Linked DNA regions of Drosophila melanogaster. The protein of the gene in region 1 purifies or fractionates together with the protein of each later gene. This does not show direct contact. Each region holds a gene or a part of one and is shown in the gene's direction. Other genes may lie near its edges.

Region 1 (8,074 bases):
AGTTTTTACAAAGCGCGCAACAGTCTGGCAGATTTGCTAGGCTCAGTTTGAGATACAGATTCGATATGGTACTCGTAAATATATATATGTATATGTATTTTCTTGGGCTTTGGAGATTGCATCTAGTTCGCTTCATGGAAGAACAATTTGTGATGTGTATGTGTACAGTGCGATTTGACATCATCTTCATCTCTGTGTGGTTGTGGCTCCCTTGAGGGCGCAATAAGATCAACAATTAAGCTAATTCAACGATTCTGCTAAATACGAGTTATTGTCTCAAGTTGTACATACTTTATAGCCTACAGTAAGTACGTGAGTTTGCATGTGTGATTGAGTGGCAGTGCTCCTTTCCATTAAAACTGATTTTAATAACTGACATAACTGAAGCATAAAATAGATATCACAATATTGTATATTCTATCTAAAACAATAGATATCATTGAGAATACTGATACTGCTAGCGATAGAAATGAAATCACAATTCAATTTTATAATAAAACGAAATGGAATAAAAGCTATAATTGTTAGAAAACCCTAGACATTTCAACTATATCACTGCTCTCCATTCACACACACTTAAGTAGAGAAGCCAAGCGATTGGGGATACATGGGGAATAGTCGAGTATCACGATGTCATCTTTGCCGCATTAGCCGCGGCTATATCATCCCGGAAAGCCAGGAATCCCAGTTGGGCGTGCGAGGCCTCATTCAAGGCCCTCGATCGAATGCAGGCCCGATACTGATCGGCTGTCAGGGAACTGGAACAGATCTGTGTAAAAGAGAGAACTCGGTAGTGCAAATGGGCTGAAATTCGTTGCATACAACAGTACCTTGGTGTGCCAGCGGTGAAAGATTCCCGGGTCGGTGGCCCTGATTATCTTGATTTTTGATCGAACATACTTTCGGTATAGCATCACATCCTCGCCGCCCCAACCGACAATCTCCTCCTCGTCGAAACCGCGCACCTTTAGGAAGTTCGAGCGGTACTGGCACGTCATTCCGTAGCCAAAGTCCCGCCAGAAACCGGTGTCCCTCGATATCACCAGTTGCTCCTCTTCGCTGGGCAAGGGCTTGCCCTGCAGTGAGTACACCACATGCGGATTGTACAGGCTAAATACGACGGGGTAGTAGACCTAAGCGTTGAAAATAGATGTTAATGTATTAGTAATTTAAATAATAGCAGATATATTTACCTTCTTTCCAGGCGCTGCATTCCAGCGACAACGCTCCAGGAACTTGGTCGTGAACATAATGTCCACGTCGCACATGAAGAGCAGCACGTCCTCCTCAGCGGGTTGAATGTGCTCCGCTCCCAGTCTTAAAGCTTTGGCTATAAGCAAAATGGCTATTATTAACTACCAATATTATTTGTAATGCATTATAAACTTGCATATGTATTATGAACGAAACAAATGTAATATTAATAAACGAAACCCGTGCTTACCCCTACTGAAAGTCTCATTGAGTGCCAAAAACTGAGTCCTTTGGGATCGTCCAGCCAGGCTCCTAGCTTGCTCCAATCCACTGGTTCCAAAGTACACCACAATAAGCTCCAGGCGACGATCCTCTAGCTTGGCGAACATCTGCAGGAAGCCGCGAAAGCTGTGCAGACGTCCAGCCAGCGGTAGTATCACGTGGATTATGGGCGGACTATGACTTGGAGGGGCACCACTATTATCCACACTGGAAGATAGCTCCGATAGCTGCACCGTTTGCAGAGGAGCAAATGGTCGCATGACCAGGGCTCTCCGCACTGGACTCGCCTGGTGCTTGACACTCTGGAAGTACAGCTCGTACTGGGTGCCTGTGGTGGGTTCGTTGCGGTATATGCCCTCGATAAAGTCATCCAGGGTGTATTTGATCACATCCGAGGCGTAAGCCGCTGCAGAACCAGCTCCCTTGGCTCGTATTCTCGCTGAGTGATTCCTGTTCAGGCTCTCCAGCGCCTTGTTTACCGCCTCGATGAGGTCACGTCGTCGATAACCGATGGGCTTCTCCACCACGCGCTTTCCCAGGCCCAAGTCGATGGGATATACTCGCGTGAAGGTGAAGTGATTGTAGGGTATCAGCTCGTACTCGTTGTTCAGCGGCAGTCCATGCAGAATTTCTGCGGCGCCCACCTGCTTGCGAATATAGCTGCTGCAGTCGTAATGGTGACCCAGTGGTGCAGTTGGTGGCCCCGCGGTGGTTTCTTGCAATTGAAGACTGCCATTTGATGGCTTGGCAGTGCTGCGATTATTCTGTAGAAAGAGGATTTGAGTGCGGAGAGCCAGGACTTCCTGTTTCAGCCGCTCAATTTCCGCCTCTCGTTCGCTTAAGGTGTAACTGAATCCGCTGGATTCACTCGGATTATTGGCTTGAGTTTCCCTCGTCGTCAGTTCATCGAATCCGCACTTTGTGAGCACCACAATGGAGGCGCCGGTCAACAAGGCGAAGAGCAGCAAAAGCCGCAGCAGCAACTTGGTCACCAGGGAGTTATGCATTTTCCATAGTTTCTTACAAAATTTTCAACCTATTGAAAATAATAAAATAATTAGTTATCTAAGTGCAATAGTAAAATGCAAACACACATTTGAGACTGTAAAAAAAACTAGTAACGAATTATCACAAATTTTATACATTGCTGTGGAATTCTACATTTTTATTACATATTATACATGTACATGGCTCGGTAGAACAGTTTATTGGTTTTTGTCTCTGCTATTTAGGCAACAGTGCGTTATTAATAATTTTCGCTGATCTTTTGTAAAAGTATTAAAGATAAATCAGTTAAGAGCAAACAAAAATTTCATTTTGGCTTGCGGCACTGGTAATTTAAGTAATAAAATAAGATACAATAATATAAGACATTGATTTGAAATCAAACATCATCTGCAAGGAACTAAAGAAAAATGGAATGCAAGTGCTTGTTAACAATAATTTGTGCGCCGATACACATACTAAATATACCAATTCATGTTTTTTATAAGCTAGATAAGTATTATCTTTTTATATTTGCAAGGGGTTTTCAGGAAACATCGATAGTATCGATAAGGTATCGGGCTTGGTTCCAGCTCTAATAGTTCAACGGTCACACTGATCACAAGCTGATATTTCTATAAAAAAAAATAGTGCTATTTAAAAAGCAGCCGCAGTTTTCCGTGGAAAACCCGAAATACACAGCAGTATTCTACAGGCACATTGTCAAGGTGAGTGCTCGGGGGTGGTGGGTGGTTGGGGGTGGCGTTCCACCCATGTAAACAGCGTTTGTTGGCAGTGCGGCATGCAACAAGTTCTTTTTTCGAGCAAAGGTGATGGCATTCCTATAAATCGAGTGATTCATAGGCCGAATAGATAAGGCGTGTGCTGCGTTTTGTTTTCTTTTCTTTTCGGCCCTGTAATCTAAACAATTTCGGGTGTGTGTGTGTGATGGAACATGCATTCTCCCCATTTAAAGAACCAGACATCCAATAAAGGCCTTTCTCTGCTTCGCTTTCTTTCCGCAGCAAATTCACAATGGAGAACAACGAAGCCCCCTCCCCCTCGGGATCCAACAACAACGAGTAAGTGGTGGAAATCCATCGAATCAACAGGCTCAGCGCACAAAAGCAAGGAAAATCCCATACAGTGACGTCACCTGAGTCATATGGGCCACAGCGAACCGGAAGTAAAGTCTTCGGACTTCACTTTCGGACATTGGAATACCGTAAACGTCATGCTGCTGCCCAAGCGGTAGCTTCAGTTGTAGTTTGAAATCAATTAGGGTCATTAAAAGCATTCAGTTAAGTTGAGATATTGTAAAGTCAGTTGCTATCTTAGATGGAATATTAATGTGAAATGGCAAATTAACTCGAATAACAAAAAAGTATTAATTATATTCGATTCTAAATTGTAAAACATTTGCAAGTAGCTTATAATCAGAAACAGAATTTGCTTATTAATCACTTTATCGCAAATGGTAACTGAACATACTTAAGTATGTTTCATTTAACATCTATGAAAAACAAATGAATATTACTCATTTTATATTTTTTTTTGTCAATGGAATTTCAACAGCACTTGAGATTGTGAAGTTTTATTAGTCTATCCGAATTTAAGAAGAAAGAAAGTATTTATAGGACACAAGTCCCATTATTAAAACGTGAAAGGTGAATTGGCATAGATAACGATGGCATGATATACCAAGACTCGTGCTTTTGTGCGTTGCAGCTTGATGATCCATCTGCTGCTCTTAATAAGTGTAAGCAACCCCCACAAACACACATAATATTGTACAGTTTTCCCATACTTCCGCCACCGCCGAACGCGAATGACAACTACAATCAATTCGGTGACCATCAAATCAGGAACAACAATGCAGCCCAGAAGAAGCTGCAGCAGACCCAAGCCAAGGTGGACGAGGTGGTCGGGATTATGCGTGTGAACGTGGAGAAGGTCCTGGAGCGGGACCAGAAGCTATCGGAACTGGGCGAGCGTGCGGATCAGCTGGAGCAGGGAGCATCCCAGTTCGAGCAGCAGGCCGGCAAGCTGAAGCGCAAGCAATGGTGGGCCAACATGAAGATGATGATCATTCTGGGCGTGATAGCCGTTGTGCTGCTCATCATCGTTCTGGGTAAGCTAACCGATTTTATACCGCTTCGGCTTTTTGCCTCTTGCTGGTGCTTCTTTCTGGTTGCGGTTTTTCTCGATCAGGCTAAAGATCAGTAGTGTAGCTAGGTGGCTGGTTTGGTTTGGTATTGTTATATCTATAACGCAAGTCGACGCCCTGCAAACGCCCTAATCTTGCTCAACCTGTGGTTTCGGTCCTAACAACTTGTCCATGTGGCTTGCAGCTAACTAATCCAATAACAGATACTCCTACTCGTACTGATGACAACCCCTTGTGAATTTCTGTTTACTTGCAGTGTCGCTTTTCAATTGATACAATTAAACACACACTCACAGAAAAACAAAAGCAAAGCCAACAAAAATCATGTAATTCCGTTTCCCAATCAGCAAAGTTAAGGTTCAGATTAATCGTTTAACACGTTTGTGTACGTGTACTGGCTCCTACTATATACTCCTTAAATTGTTTATTATATTTTATAAAAGTCTTAAGCTAAGCAACTCTAAAGCTCTAAAGGTAATTGTTGTTCTTGTGCCTGTCCTAAGTGTTAATTATCGTTATATTTGTTTAGTCTGTAGTGTGCGAAGATTAGAACCTCCATGTCATACGTGTGTAGACTATAAAGTTCATACATATGTATATAGCTTCAGCAAAGCTATTAAGAAGTTAAAAATGGTTATATCTACAGTGCAATGTTGGGGCTAGGGCTCTGTTCTATGGAGAAATTTCATTTTAAAAAGTCATTTCGATTTTATTCAAATTAAACTCGCGTAAAAAGTATTAAATAAGAATGACAATACGAAATCCGTGCTGACATCGAAAGGTATGTAAGATAGTAAGCGGGAAGATAAAATCTGACTTTAAAAGTTGTTAATTAATAAATAACTGAAGAAATCTTTCGTCAACAAAACGCTCAGTACAATGTGCTGGGTGGTTAGAACTTTTACTTAAAAAGACCGCGATTTCATTTAAATGCGAGATAGGATATGAAATCCTTTTCATATCTCGTTGAATTGATATAAACATAGCTCTAATATCTGCGTATTTCCCTTTTTAGTGTCCGTTTGGCCGTCTAGTAGTGACAGCGGCAGTGGTGGAGGAAACAAGGCCATCACCCAAGCACCGCCGCACTAAAGGCCTCCTAGGGAGTGAGGTAAACACATGGATACGAAATGGAAAAGGACCAAACAAACACAACTGGGACGGAAACCTTTCTGGTCTTTTCGCGCAATGAGAGAAGGGGAGATGAAGAAAATCAAAAGGATAACTTACTAAAATTGCGTCTAGCATATATTTAACCAGAATGTAATTATTAAATCTTAATGTTAAACTTAACATTTTTACGTGTCGTAGCCGAGACCAGAGGTCCCATTAATGTGTATTGCATTATATACAATTATATATACGTGTATATCATCCAATTGAAAATACATCATGCCACCTACACTTTAACCGGACCCATCAAGTCCACCGAAGTTTTATGGAAACGTTTCGCGGACAGAGCCATTTATTTACATTCAGCGTTTTTGCTTAAGATGCGCGTGCCATGGAAACAGTTATCGATTTTCCGGCAAACCGAATCGAAACAAGACGACAGCAGTCGCGGGCACCCAGACAAACTTGCCCCATCGACATCGAGGCACTGACCAATTGCCGCAGGAACTGAATCGTCTCGCATAAACATTCTGTCCCAGCTGTTCCGATAGTCCACGCATGCGTTCCACTCATTCGATGTTCTTCCGATAGAACAGGTACACGAATATATCATGAATGTCCGCGCGCCATCCCATCAATTCTATAAACGAGGCTGTCGTCCACACATAGCCCATATATAGGGCAAAAAAGTTGAGGTAGTACAGCTGGCCGATCAGTATGTAGTCCCCGGTCGACTCCTGGCGGTAGAAGTTCGGCTTTCGCATGGAAGCGCCAAAGACTATGACAAACTGTGGGCAAAATTGGAGGAATACTGTGTCGTTATTTTAAAAATGGGAAAGTAGGTGTATCGTTTCGTTTCCCTGAGGCTTACCACGCTCGAGAGAATGGTGTATACTAGCAGGGTTGGAAACTCTATGATAACACGCTTCATCTCGGCACACACGATGATGCCAAAGCAGGTGAGGACAAATATGCGCTCGCTCCACAGGATAACCTTATGCCGGGTAGTCTGTGGTAAAGGAGGTAAGTGTCGGCGGGTCAACAAGTTCTTCACTTACGAAAAGGCCTTTCTTGTGTTTGATGGCACTATTTCCGTATATCACACTGATGATCATCATAAGGAATGTTAGGAAGATTGACAGGATGAGGCTTATATAAGGGGCACGTTTGGCGGGCTTCATGATCGACATGGTGTTCACCTCGTACTGCAGATCAAAAGAGGTCATTCGAAATGGACACCATCAGTTGAGATCATTCATGTACTTACCGTCCAGAGGCCCGCCAATAACCGCACCCACATAGGCTTTTTAACGATTATGTGGTAGAAAAATCCGTAGAGCTGGATGGATAGGAAGCTGACGACAAATTGCACGAGACTGAGGTAGTAGCGATCTGCGAGAAATTCCTTCAGGGGAGTGCTGAAAAAGAGGAGCAATTGAAAGGTCTGTCAAAAGCCGCAGGGCAAGAGCATGGATCACTACTCACATCTCCATCGCCACCGAGACCTGAATCTGTCCGATGACGAGCATAATTATGGTTACTCTGTACGTGGGTCCCACCCAACTCTTTTGGCGCGGTGGGGGGTTTTCGCGCAACATATGTACAGACGCTCTAGTTCTGAAACTGTATTTGGAGTGGCTTGTTTCGATTCACATCTAAATTTATGAGAAAAACATCAAACTATCAGAAAAATAAATGCCAACTGTTCTGTCCGCCAGCGGGATCGCGGTAGGTTGGATTGGTCCGTTAATCGTTACCTTCCGGTTGGTTTTGAGGTGTGAAAACTCATTTGCGGCACGTAAATGACCAGCAAAGTACGGCCATACAAAAATTTTGCGAATTCTGTATGTTGTGTAACTGCCTAACTCCCATTTTACATTTTGCAATGAATGATTTTATATTCATTGAAAGTATTCCTACAAAACCCTAGATATCTATGATAAAACATACATTTTTTGAACTAGTTTTTGAAATCAAGTCACTATAATCATTGAAAAAGGTGAGCATATAGGTGACCATAGAATTGCGTGCTTGCTTTTAAAATGTAAAACTGAAAATAATTGAATCGTATGCTCGTATTTTCACTATACATGCTTCTTTCTTCTGAGTGCGCAGAGTATATTTAGTGAACTAATAGAGTTTACTAATAGAATTAAATATCTTGGTGTAGTGGGTATCTTTCATCGCAGTGGTTGCTGGCCACCCAGCTTCACATATCAGAGTGGCCTGGACTTCTCCATTAGGTTTGAAATTAGTTATCGTTTGTTACTGAATTCCATACTCCAACACGATACCCGGGCCACGCCCACACCGCCATGGAGGACCGCCGCCAGA
Region 2 (5,796 bases), about 14 Mb from region 1:
TGGCATCTCATCAGATATTCGGATTGTAATCACAGTGCTTAGCAATCATTACCCTTTCCGTGATTTTGCGAAGTCCAGCTCCTTTGCGCATGCACGAATATCTGCGGGATACAGATACACAGTTTCTGCTCCACATTCAGTTATACTATACCGTCTCGCGTTCAGAAAGGATGCTACTTTTAAATAAAAACCGAGTGATTTCTTTGGTCGTTAATTTTATTTTTCTTATCATTCTCATTTCATCGAGTGTCCAAGCGGATGAGAGAAACATTAACAAGCTGCTGAACAACCAGGTGGTGGTCAGCCGCCAGATTATGTGCATCCTGGGCAAGAGCGAATGCGACCAACTGGGACTTCAACTCAAAGGTAATAAACATATTCGTTTAATGTTCGTTCAGATACAACATCATTTTAAGTCCAAAGTTCTTTTCAAGTTCTTCGCCAATTGGTAAAGAGCCCAAAATGTAATTATTTCGAATTTGGTTCTTACAGCTGCCCTGCCAGAAGTTATAACCAGGAAATGCAGGAACTGCTCCCCACAACAGGCTCAAAAAGCGCAAAAGCTGACCACATTTCTGCAAACTAGATACCCGGACGTATGGGCCATGCTTCTAAGGAAGTACGACAGTGCCTAAATGGCATTTAAATGTTATTCTCATGCATCGAATATAATAAACTAGTCTCGACATCATTCCTAGCATTTGGTTTCGTAGCTTAGGGGATTTTCTAAGGATTAGGCGGCTGAAAGGAATCCCTCCTTTAAATAAAACATGGCTTTGTACACATGACTGTCTCTTTACATCTTATTATTACATAAACTCTAAAAGTACGTCTTTAAAGGGGCCAGGCCATCATTTACTGTGGCTCTCTAGGTAAACTGTTGCATTGTCCACGCCCATAAACTGGTGTATACTCAGCGAGGACAGCATTTTCATCTGGCCCTGGTACAGCACATCGGCGATGATCTTTTCCGCGTAGATAGCCTGTGTTCCGTCCATGGAGCGAAGCTTGTGTGCGATAATTTTCCCGAAGTTGGAGAAGTGGTCGTCCAGCTGGCTGTCCGCACTCTTTAGGGCCAGCGAAAAGAGGCGCTCAAAGTCAATGGTGGAAATGTCCGCTCGGAATTTACCTGGAGGCGGCTCGTTGTCCTCCGAAATCTGCGAAGAGACCGAGGAGGACCTTTTCCGTGTTATGTGATTGGCTTTCTGGCTCGGGCTCTGATTACTGATCAGTTTCGTTTGGTTCTGGGTGACGATGCGCTTGCACTGCGGCGATTCGGAGTCGCCAGGCGGAGACTTTATGGAGTCGGGCACGGATTTTCTGCGGGCGGACAGCAGCCTGTTGTTAGCAGGCACCACGATTTCGACCTCCTTGATAGTAGCGCCACTGGCATGGCTGTTGGCGTTGTTGACTGTTTTAATACTGATAACGGGGTCAGCGGCAGCGGCGGCGGCGGCCTCCTCGAAGATGTTGGCACAGAATTCGTTGGCGCTGTTGTTGGGTGACATCTTGATCGAGTCTGCCGTCGGCTTTGGGGGCTTGTGCAGGCTCTCGGCGTCGGAATACTCGTCGCCGTTCTCTGGCGCCCCTAGCTGCATGGAGTTGTCCAGGCAGACCGACTGCTCGCGCTTGAACTTCTTGTCGGCGGGGATCTCCTCGTCCTTAAGGAACATCAGGGACTCGAAGTAGCGGCGCTTGGGGCAGTAGGGCTCGTACTTCTCGCCCTTTTTCTTGACCTCGTTGTATTTCCTCAGCTGATGACGAAATGCACAGCGCAGATTGTTTATCTTTTGCTTTGTTCGCTCCACATTGTACATCTCCCCGTGCTTGGTGGCCACCTCGATGAGCTTCGCGTAGGCCTCCTGCCGGCGGCTGCGGTTCCTGAAGTCCGCCGAGTCCGCCTTCCACAAGCACGGATTGCTTTTGTATTCTTCGATGAAGTCGTCGATAAAGTCCATTTTTTGTTTACCAAATGAAAAACACTGTAGTTTACGGGGCCACCTAGTTTATCTATGTGTGCGTGTGCGTGAGTGGCATCAATAGCTATCGTTTCGCTCGGCTCATTCCGATTGGAACACGCGGAATCGGACCGCAAAATGGGTACATACTTTGCTGGTTTGCAGTAATTCCTTAATAAATATCATTTAAAACAATAAAACATCGAAAACTAACCCACGGTTAATATAAAATATAGCAAACGCAAATTCGAATATATCTATGTATATTGCGATATACAATTGTATATTGCGGCGATAAGTTTCTTTATATATTCGGCTGTGTCTACCCCAATACTTTTATTATTTACCTTTATTTTATTATTCATATTTACACGCTATAGTTGGCAGACAAAAATATTAAGTTATTTCTTTCATCGCACTTTCCCGCGTAATTTTTAAATAGTAGTGCTTAGGGAGTGTTGTAAAACACCATTAAAATTTCTTGTTGGAGTAAAAATTTGATCTCAATGAATCACGGTGAACACGGTAATTGTATGCCTATCGATAGTTCCAAATTTTTGACAATAATTGTTCCGGCCCAACCCATCTCTCATCTCTAGATAAACACAATTAAAACGAACAGAAACAATAGGAATAAATAAAGATGAGTGGGGCTCACAGAGAGGCGATCCAAAAGCAGATCCACCAGGACTGGGCGAACAGGGAGTATATCGAAGTGATAACTGCCAGCATAAAGAGAATCACCGACTTTCTGAACTCTTTCGGTAAGCAACCTGCATACGAAGCACCCACTTCCCTCTGACGCATGTGTGTGTGCGCGTGTTTATTATCACTTCCTTTGTAGGTGTGGGTGAACGCATAAGTAATATTACTAACAAATATTCATCAGTGACAATGACTTTATTTACTCAAGTCTTAAGTCTATAGAAACAAACAGTGGTTTGTGCGTGGTGGCATATATGTATAGCAATATATGTATCTACATACATATGGAAATGTATGTATGTAACATCATCGGAGGGCTCAAAACGAAAATTCGGCTTTATCTCTATCCGAATTAGTCACCTAAATGAATTGGATAAGCTTTTTCGGTTGCTCTATGCATAATTTAAGATACGCTAAATACTGTGATAAATGATAAGCCAAAGAGTGCGAGGTAGTTGGGTTGCTAAAATATCCCATATCCTTAATAGGGTTTATGTACACTGTTGGCATTATAAACTGTATCATCGTGTGCTATCATATCCTTTCAGATATGTCCTGTCGCTCCCGTCTGGCGGTGCTGAACGAAAAACTAACGATCCTGGAGCGGCGCATAGACTATCTGGAGGCGTGCGTCGCCCAGGGTGAAACATTAACGTAAACGCTGCCCACAACCTTATACTAAGCTTTGTACATTTATAAGTAATTAAAATACTGATTTAATATTTAATATCTTTTGATTCGCAATGTGAATTGCCGTGACATTAATAATTCGCTGTACATTGTTTGTTTGTTCTTTGAAGGAAGGTTTTCACGGCTGAGTTACTTGCGGCCATCGGATTCGATTCATTGCCCCTTTTAAGAATAATATAAGTAATAGCTCAGAACCAAGACAAGCACGCGATGTTTTTGCCAACTAACCGTAGCTGCCTTTATTGTCAATGTTAATGCAAATCGCCCGCCATATATAAGCCGCTTATTAGGGTCTAGTCGTAATCTTGTGAATGTTTTTTCTAAGACCTTAATTGTGCTTAGATTAATCATCGTTCTAGTAGCAGGAGGCTAGACTTAAGTGCTACATTTGTCATAGTTAATTTATATACTCTCTGAAGCCTGGCAAATCCCCCTTCGATAACGATATAATACTCGGCAGGTGTATGGTAAAAAAACAAATCTCTTTATTCCGAGCACGATCGTAGAAATAATTTTGATGATCAGATATAAGCGTAGACCTAATTAACAGTGCATATAACCAAGAGTTTCCGGAACCGGGATCCGCCTTACACCTTGATTCCCGAGGCCTCGGCGGTGGCGCGGTAGCGCTTGATGTAGATCTCATCGGGATCGTACTTGGCCTGCAGCTGCTTCCACTCCTCGGGCTTGTTTTCGATGATGTAGCGAATGACCTTGTCGGTGTTCTGGCGCTGCTTCTCGCTGCACTTGCTGCACTCCGTCTTCAGGGCGTCCGGCAGGGACTTCTTGAGCTCCCGGCCCTCCGGGGTGCACTTTCCGTTGTCCACCAGGCACTTGAAGTAGTTTCCGAAGAGGCGGTCCGACTTCAGGATCTCGTCGACGTCGATGTTGTCGTACTTGGTGGTGTACTTATCCTCGGCGGCGACCAGCACCAGTCCAAGGACGACAAGCGCAAGTATCATCTTCATCTTGGAGTTTTCTGCGGGCGAATTGGGGTAAGTATGTTTGTACGATTAATCAGCACTTTTGTGGCTTAGTGGGTCTGTTGGTCGGGCAACCAGTTTTGTGCGCAGGGGATTTTACTGGGCAATGGAAAAATATTTTTACTAGCCATCGAGCGCGACTGCATTCGCAAAATGTATCTGTGGACTTATGGGATTTGTATGCAAATTAATGCACAGCCAGGCAGGCCACTTTGTATGCGTATCTGAAACACATTCGCTGTCTGAAAAGATGTCACTGTTTATACACAATGAAACTGGTTGCCCGTCTGGCTGCGTCCATGAGTGTGTGGACTACTACCAGCCACCAGTCGACCAGCCGAGCCGATCGGCTCCAAAAACTATAAACGGTGCGGTGGTCTTACAATGGGGCTCGACTTGTGGGGCGACTCGGAGCGAATAGATGTGAAGCAATTCAGCTGCTGGAACTAACTGAGAAATGTTTCTATGAAGTGGGCTTTTATACCTGGGCCCACTTTTTACCTGGGATTGAACTTCAAGTGTAATACACAACACAAACCGCGCGCTGTGAGCCTGTGTTCGAGCTCGGCTCGTATCCATACGGGATTGCACACACTTTAGACTTTGAAGCGAAAATCGCTATTGCTGAAAAGTCAACCCAGTGATTAGTCAATCGTCGTTATAAATTTATATAATATATGTGCGATAGTTATACACACTTAAATTGACATTAACATTAGGCAGGTGACGTCTGAGTACTAAACGGCGATCGAAAGTCGCTCTGCGAGAGATTCGCAGCCACGATGGACGGGCTAACTTGGCGATATGTTATTTGTTTACCAGATTTAACGATCTCATTAGCGATTTCCATTAGCAATTTCTCATTTGTTACACTTGAGACCCGTGCAACATGACCCTTTAATAGTCGCTTTAAAGTTGATTGCAATAATAAATAGTTCTCGGAACAATTAGTAGCTATCCATCAAACGCTAAAAACCTCGATTCGAAACTGAGTCAGCCGCATCATATTCCAGAAGCTTTCCGGAAAACAATTGTGTGGAAGTTTGAACTTGGCGTCGTCCATCCCTCATTCGAACGCAGCCCAGTTTAAAGCAGTCATGTCTCGTAAAATGTACTTGTTTCCTTCGATTTTTTTATTAAATTGTATTGTAGTTACAAATAGTGAAATGTAAAAAGTAACAAACACATACACTTTAGAAATCTGTACAAGGAAAGTAGTCGACCTGCAAAGGTAATTTCGTTTGTTCAGGATTTCCGGATGCAACTATAACTTTAGGCTTAAACGTTGTGTGTGTCTCGAAATAAATTGTCAGGAGGCAGTTATCAGTAGTTGATCATTGCGCAGGAACAAATCATAACTGGATCTGGGCAGGACGCTTGCGTTGGAATATAGAGTCGATGGTGGAGAAGACGTCGCTGGACTTCTTGGCGGCGTCCACCTTGAAGTGCAGACCCCTCAG
Region 3 (5,882 bases), 8.6 Mb from region 1:
AAGACGATGCCGAGTATGATAGCTAGCTATATAGATAGAGAACTGTGTCGAGAGTATATAATTGTCCGTAGTGTGATCGATCGTTTTAAATGTTGAATGTTTAAGAACGCGGTAGCCCAATAGCCAATAGCACCCTGTATGTATATGTATGTAACCAATGTATTTAACTGTTGATAGTTGATCCCAAGTCGATGTGAGTAAGAGATGTGCGTTAACGACAAACTGCAATCAAATAAAAAACAAAGCATTTTATTGCAAACACTGAGATGAACGAACGGTGGGCTCTTCCCCGACAATTTATGTAGTGTAGAATGATAAGGACTAAACCACATTCATGGCGCGCGGTGTTTGTTTGCTGGCTTCGCTGTTTTTCAGCTGGAGGTAGAAGGAGTACACAATTCGTGCGCTGAAGAGGATCAATACTGAAAGTGTAGCGGAGAATATGTATGATCTGTACATTTTTGTTAACTCAATTTGATGTTCATAGCCGATACTTACGAAATGTGATGATGTAAACGAGCAGGGCACCGAAAACGTTGTTCATTCCGGTAGCCTCGCGATATCCTCCGTAGTGGAAGATAACCCCGAAGACGGCAAACGGAAAGGAGATGGCTTCAATGGCAGCGAAGATCAGCCAGACGAACACCAGAATTGGCTTTTCCTGCAATTCGGAAAGGTAGATTGGGTTTCGTTGACTCAATAAAACGGAATGGGTTGTATTTTATTTACCTTCAGGGTTCCTATCAATAAGCAAATATTGGCGACTACTACGATGGCAAATCCAATAAAGGTAAGAACTGCAAGGATTCAAGTGAATTTAAATAGAAATTATTGAACGTACATATTTCATTCATAAAAAAAGCCGTTACAATTAGTGGAAAGTAAACATAAACTTGGGCTTATAAGTGACTCAATGTATTCCAAGCAAAACGTTGCTGTGCTCTTATCTTTCTTCCCGTCTGAAATTTGAGAACACGACTGCTAAATGTATCTTCGTATATAATGAGTACATATTGATGCACTGATGCACTTCATGTACATGTGTACATATACATAAAGAACTAAAACATAAATTCTTCTTTTATATTTTAAACACATTTCATACATGAAATATGACAAACTTTTTAAAACAGCTTAGAATAAGGTTTATAGAACTTCTTTGAGACATGGACAAATGCAGGGCTTTAAGTGTTTTTATGACATATGGCGTTCAACTGTTAAAACCCAATAATCTTTTAAGTTTAATTCTGCGCCATGCACAGCCCAAGGAAATTATTTAATTTTCTTTTTTGTGCTGGAAAATTCAAGCCTGTGAGAAAATGGCATTTCGGGCCACCTAAAATGAATTGTCAGCTCGAATTTGTCGGCGATGTCGTCATCGATGGTGAGGTGTTGTATCCAAAATGGTTGTGAATTGGAACGCGTTTGTGTCGAATGGATTAGCTCATTCGTTTATTTCGCATGTGAACATCATGAATGTATTGTCTCTCTATGGAAATAGCGTCAGTCTGGGCAATCAGCTTCTGAAAATAAACAAATGCCACGCCTCTCGCATTTCTCCTACCGTTTGGAGCGAATATAACGTTGAAAGTCATGCTCAATAGCCAATAGATCGCGATTCCCAGGCACCAGCTCCGCAAATCGGTATTGCACGGGCCATTTTCCACCGTCAGATCGATTTTCATTTTGAAACTCTGTGGTTTACAGCGAATTTTCCAAATACAAATATGGCTAGTATGGCACTTAAACCGGTTTGGGAACACCTAGCGCACGGAAACACAACCGCACTGGGCAAGAATCAAATAATAAGTGTGGCGCAAATGCCGATGCCGCTCAGAAGAAACGGTTGCGTAAACTATGCAACACGAAAATACTTTTTTTTCGAGCGTGGAAAAACTACGTCTGATATGTTCTTAAAAAATATATGTGCACTCATTTACTATATGAATTTGTTTGCATATGTTTCGTCATTTAAGAGTGAAATGAATAAAATGGGGAATTGTCTTTAAAATAATAGAGAGATTTAATGCTGTATTATATATGTAATGTAGCTACTATTAGCACCTTGAAAAATATTATGAAAGTAAGCCGCTGCTGTGCAGTGTTAATGAATACATAAATAAATATTTTTTAACTATCATGCCAAATAATAAATGCATAAAAATATTTAAAATATAAAAATGTTATTAAAAGAATTTTAAACAATTAGCGTTAAAAAGTCACATTAAAAGCTGGTGAACAAGTCACAGTTTCGACACCAACTGCTTGAACCAGTCTGGCAACGCCGCTGTACCCAAAAGCTTTTAATTGTCAGCCAATTGCGACTTATCAAGCAATTGCAATTTTGCTGCGCCGGCGAACTGAAGTAAAATTGTCTTTATCTTCGCATTAGCACGAAATCAAGTGAATCCAGAATGCTGTCCAGGGTCTTCTGTATGCGCCTGAACACCTATGGTGTGGTCATTGGATGGCTGGGCGTGATTCTATCCTTCTTGGCCACGATCCTCTTGTCCTTGGCCCTCGGATTCGTCGATGAAATTGCGCAGCAGATCGCCAAGGGATCGGAAGATTCTAACAAGACGGCCACCGAGATTCGCAGTGGTAAGGGCTAACCATCGAGTGCACCCACAACCAATCGTATATTTTTTATTGTATTTCATTGTTCTTGCGGTTATTGCAGTGCTAATCATCGTTTTCAGTGTTTACCTGGCGCTCAAGGTGATTAATCTTCTGGCTTCGGCCATGTTGGTTGCAGGTACCGTTAAGGTAAGTCTAGTATCAATATGCAATCTGTACAATCGCGTATATATGTGTCTACTATAGTACATATCTAGAGTTAGACCTTTTTAAAAGCCCACTATTCTGTAAAAAAAACCGGCAAGTTTCTTTGCAAATACATATGTACATACACCATACTAACTAGAGATAGAGATGGTTCTAATAGCGTTTGCCTTTCAGGAACGCCATTTACTCCTGCTGCCCTGGCTGATCAACAATGGAGTGCTGCTTGTCTTTGGAATTATCACCAATATTGCAATGCTGGCCCAGATCATCGGAAATACATCTTTCCTGAGCGCTCTTCCAATCATTTTCGTGGATGTTGGCCTGCTCTGTAAGTGACTCACCACTTCATACATACATAAGCTCTATCTGGAAATGGGTATACACAATACACACTGGCCGTTGTTGCGAAATTGTGGATCCCCATTGCGCTTATCGCTCGACGGTCTGCGATCGTTCTATAATTGCGCTTGGGCACGATGCTTATTTTTCTCCATTCGCTCGTTTTCAGTGCTGACCTGGTATCTCTACTACGGCATCTACTCGCTCTTCAAGCAGATCCAGGCATCCCGTGAGATCCAGCGCCCGCTGATCCCACAGCCGACCCAGCAGACCAACTCCTATCCCAGCTACACCAAGATTTAAGCTCCAGTGTAGCTTCCCGTTTGGCCAGCTCTTATTTCATCATATCCCTTTTCGAATGTTTCCAATGGGGCTTCCCCGATAAACCCAATATTTTTCTAGCTAGTAGCACCAAAATTATATACTACGTTGTATTTCATGCATCAGAGAATGAAAATCTGTGTGTACATCATATATATTTACATTAACGCGATTGTGTCTATACGTATATCCAAACGAAATGGCCAATACAAGATTTTTCGATTGGCTGCAAAAAAAAAAATATATATTTTTTATATAAATAATCAAATGGAAAATTATTTAGGGGCTTGGTTTACGCTTCTTGTTGTAATGTTTGGAGATGCTACTATTATTTGTTTGTAATTCGAAAATGTTAATACATACCATTCCTTAAAACTTAACACACTGTGATAGGCTTTCAAACATATATTTCTACACACACAGAGGGCATAAATTAAATCGAATCTTGGGGCGGCATTCGTTGCAGCTACTTAGGTAACTATTGATGGGCCATTCTGCTGCTCCGGCGGTCTCACTGTCATTTGCCCAGACCCAGCCACATGTAGCTGGGATCAATGAACTGGGAGCCGCGGTATCCCTGCGGATTGCGCGACACCAGCGATCGGATCTTCTGGGAGGGCCTGTAGCTGCGCAGGGCCTGCAGGAGCTTCGATGTCTTCCGGTCGTGCTCCTGCTTCTGCTCGGAATCCTCCGGAGCGTCGGGCGGCACGGGCGGCAGGTGCAGTGGGTGCGGGTGTTTACCCTCCAGCATACGCGTCTCCGACTCACCCAGTTGCGATTGCTCCGCGAAGCGCAGGTTCGCTTCCAGGCGGTTGAAAAAGCCGCCCAGATTGGTCATGGCTCCTGGAATGTAGAACGAATGTCACTAGCAATGGGTTCATTGGTTAAGGATTAAATCCGCTTTAAATTAAATCAAAGAATCCAAATCCTATCCAATACTCCATTACTCACCAGCACTGATCGAGGGCATATATCGGAGTGAGTCCGGAACCTCCTTTCGTTTCCAGGGCAAGGTGTAGGCGTAGGGGTACGTAAGCGGTGGCTCCTCGTCGTCGGGTGGCCAGTTGGCGGGATCCCTCTTAGCCTTGACTTCCGCAAGTGGAGGAACCGGAGATTGCCACTTGTGCTGCACCTGCAGCTGCTTGCTGCGATGCTGGAGGTGCCACTGGCGACCGAACAGCGTAGGATACGGGTCGAGATAGCTATCTCCGAATTGGTTATCCATTTCCGTTTCACTGGTTTTCGGCGGGGCATTTCCGCCATCGAAAGGGTAAAAGTTGTCCAAGGTGCGTGACGTCATCGGCGCGACCGACTCCCTGCCCTCGCTTCCAGCGAAATCCCAGTCCGGATCCAACTTCCAGTTTCGGTCCCACTCCGGCGGAATTTGACGGTCACGAGCAGTTGTTGGTGATGTCGCTATCGCCACCTGTGCACCGCCGAAAGGTGCGTTTCGTAGTGGACCTGGCGGTGGAGAAGCATATCGGCAGACGGGCCCATTAATTGTGTGTGCTCCCGCAGGATTTGGGGTAGTCACTTGGGTACAAACAGGGTTGGCTTCGCCAAAACTACATGACATCCAATTTCCGCTAGTGCCCTACAGATTTTAATTAGTGATAGGCGCAATGGCGGCTAATAAAAGGTCAGGTTTCAATTTAGAACAATTGCCGAGAAATGAAAAATTGCCGAAAATGTGAGATAGTTACGATAAAGTTTGCCCCATGGAATTGATGTCATATCTTCCGTTTAATTTCATAAGCAGGGAAGAACAACTAACTAGTTGTCGTAGTAAAATGTATTAGTCTCAGTTTAAGTTTATAAGCTATTTAGTTTTAATTGTTTTTTAGATTGGATAAAAAGTAGTTAAACACAGTATAGCATAATTAAATAACTCTTTGTGCATTACATATACTTTTAAATTGGAAATTTTTTGATTTGATTTTTGATTTGATTTACTTAAACAAACATCACTATTATTAATCTCTTTTAATGGGATCAAAAGAACTTCGGTTGATTCAGAGACGGATAAATTGGAAAAACGAAGATTTCTGCCATTTTTAAATGGCTATAACGTATAATCGTAGTTTATGCACCTATTAGGCATCTTCAATTGTGTTTTCAATTAATTAAATTTTAAGATTTTTAAAGAGCAGAATGGAATGTTTTTTTTGAGAAAAGGCTCTCTTTTTCTATAAATTTTGATTTTACTTGTGATCTATGATATACTTAAGATTCCAAATTCCTACAACAATAATCATGATCTCAGCTACTTTAGCTAGTATCTTTGAAATGTTTTCTGCCCAATTTCACAAACTCTTGGAACTGATGGACTTACCTGCAAATAGCAAAACCATAAGCAGAATCCGTCGCCTCATCACCAGGTGCGACATTGTGTGGCTGATTTTCGAGTACCGCCTTCTGGGTGCTCTTACATTTTACGG

The links. Proteins that work in one complex are often made in the same cells at the same time.
Region 2: the proteins of Syb (region 1) and HSPC300 purify together in Drosophila melanogaster (affinity purification with mass spectrometry, with the first as the bait; one large-scale study listed by BioGRID). This does not show direct contact.
Region 3: the proteins of Syb (region 1) and CG15098 purify together in Drosophila melanogaster (affinity purification with mass spectrometry, with the first as the bait; one large-scale study listed by BioGRID). This does not show direct contact.

What each region holds. Positions count from the first base shown.
Region 1 is NT_033778.4:10,247,396-10,255,469, reverse strand, and holds Syb (synaptobrevin), read left to right. Parts: upstream 1-3,052; 5' UTR 3,053-3,188; intron 3,189-3,297; exon of another isoform or gene 3,298-3,395; intron 3,396-3,485; 5' UTR 3,486-3,495; coding exon 3,496-3,542; intron 3,543-4,256; coding exon 4,257-4,591; intron 4,592-4,883; coding exon of another isoform or gene 4,884-4,900; exon of another isoform or gene 4,901-5,101; intron 5,102-5,642; coding exon 5,643-5,719; 3' UTR 5,720-6,035; downstream 6,036-8,074. Other genes in the region: Csgalnact (chondroitin sulfate N-acetylgalactosaminyltransferase), read right to left, coding at 626-769, 831-1,133, 1,194-1,330, 1,445-2,483; CG12914 (uncharacterized protein), read right to left, coding at 6,310-6,528, 6,612-6,749, 6,799-6,945, 7,008-7,158, 7,226-7,338; CG12209 (uncharacterized protein), read left to right, coding at 8,056-8,074. UniProt on the Drosophila melanogaster protein: Involved in the targeting and/or fusion of transport vesicles to their target membrane.
Region 2 is NT_033778.4:24,025,540-24,031,335, reverse strand, and holds HSPC300 (haematopoietic stem/progenitor cell protein 300), read left to right. Parts: upstream 1-2,546; 5' UTR 2,547-2,601; coding exon 2,602-2,722; intron 2,723-3,211; coding exon 3,212-3,321; 3' UTR 3,322-3,619; downstream 3,620-5,796. Other genes in the region: CG30172 (uncharacterized protein), read left to right, coding at 171-366, 493-635; CG3163 (uncharacterized protein), read right to left, coding at 852-1,958; EbpIII (ejaculatory bulb protein III), read right to left, coding at 3,941-4,321; Ak2 (adenylate kinase 2), read right to left, coding at 5,689-5,796.
Region 3 is NT_033778.4:18,831,195-18,837,076, reverse strand, and holds CG15098 (uncharacterized protein), read left to right. Parts: upstream 1-2,301; 5' UTR 2,302-2,414; coding exon 2,415-2,601; intron 2,602-2,680; coding exon 2,681-2,766; intron 2,767-2,958; coding exon 2,959-3,112; intron 3,113-3,292; coding exon 3,293-3,426; 3' UTR 3,427-3,705; downstream 3,706-5,882. Other genes in the region: CG15083 (uncharacterized protein), read right to left, coding at 322-422, 499-661, 730-797, 1,565-1,685; CG15082 (uncharacterized protein), read right to left, coding at 3,962-4,287, 4,396-4,905, 5,777-5,831.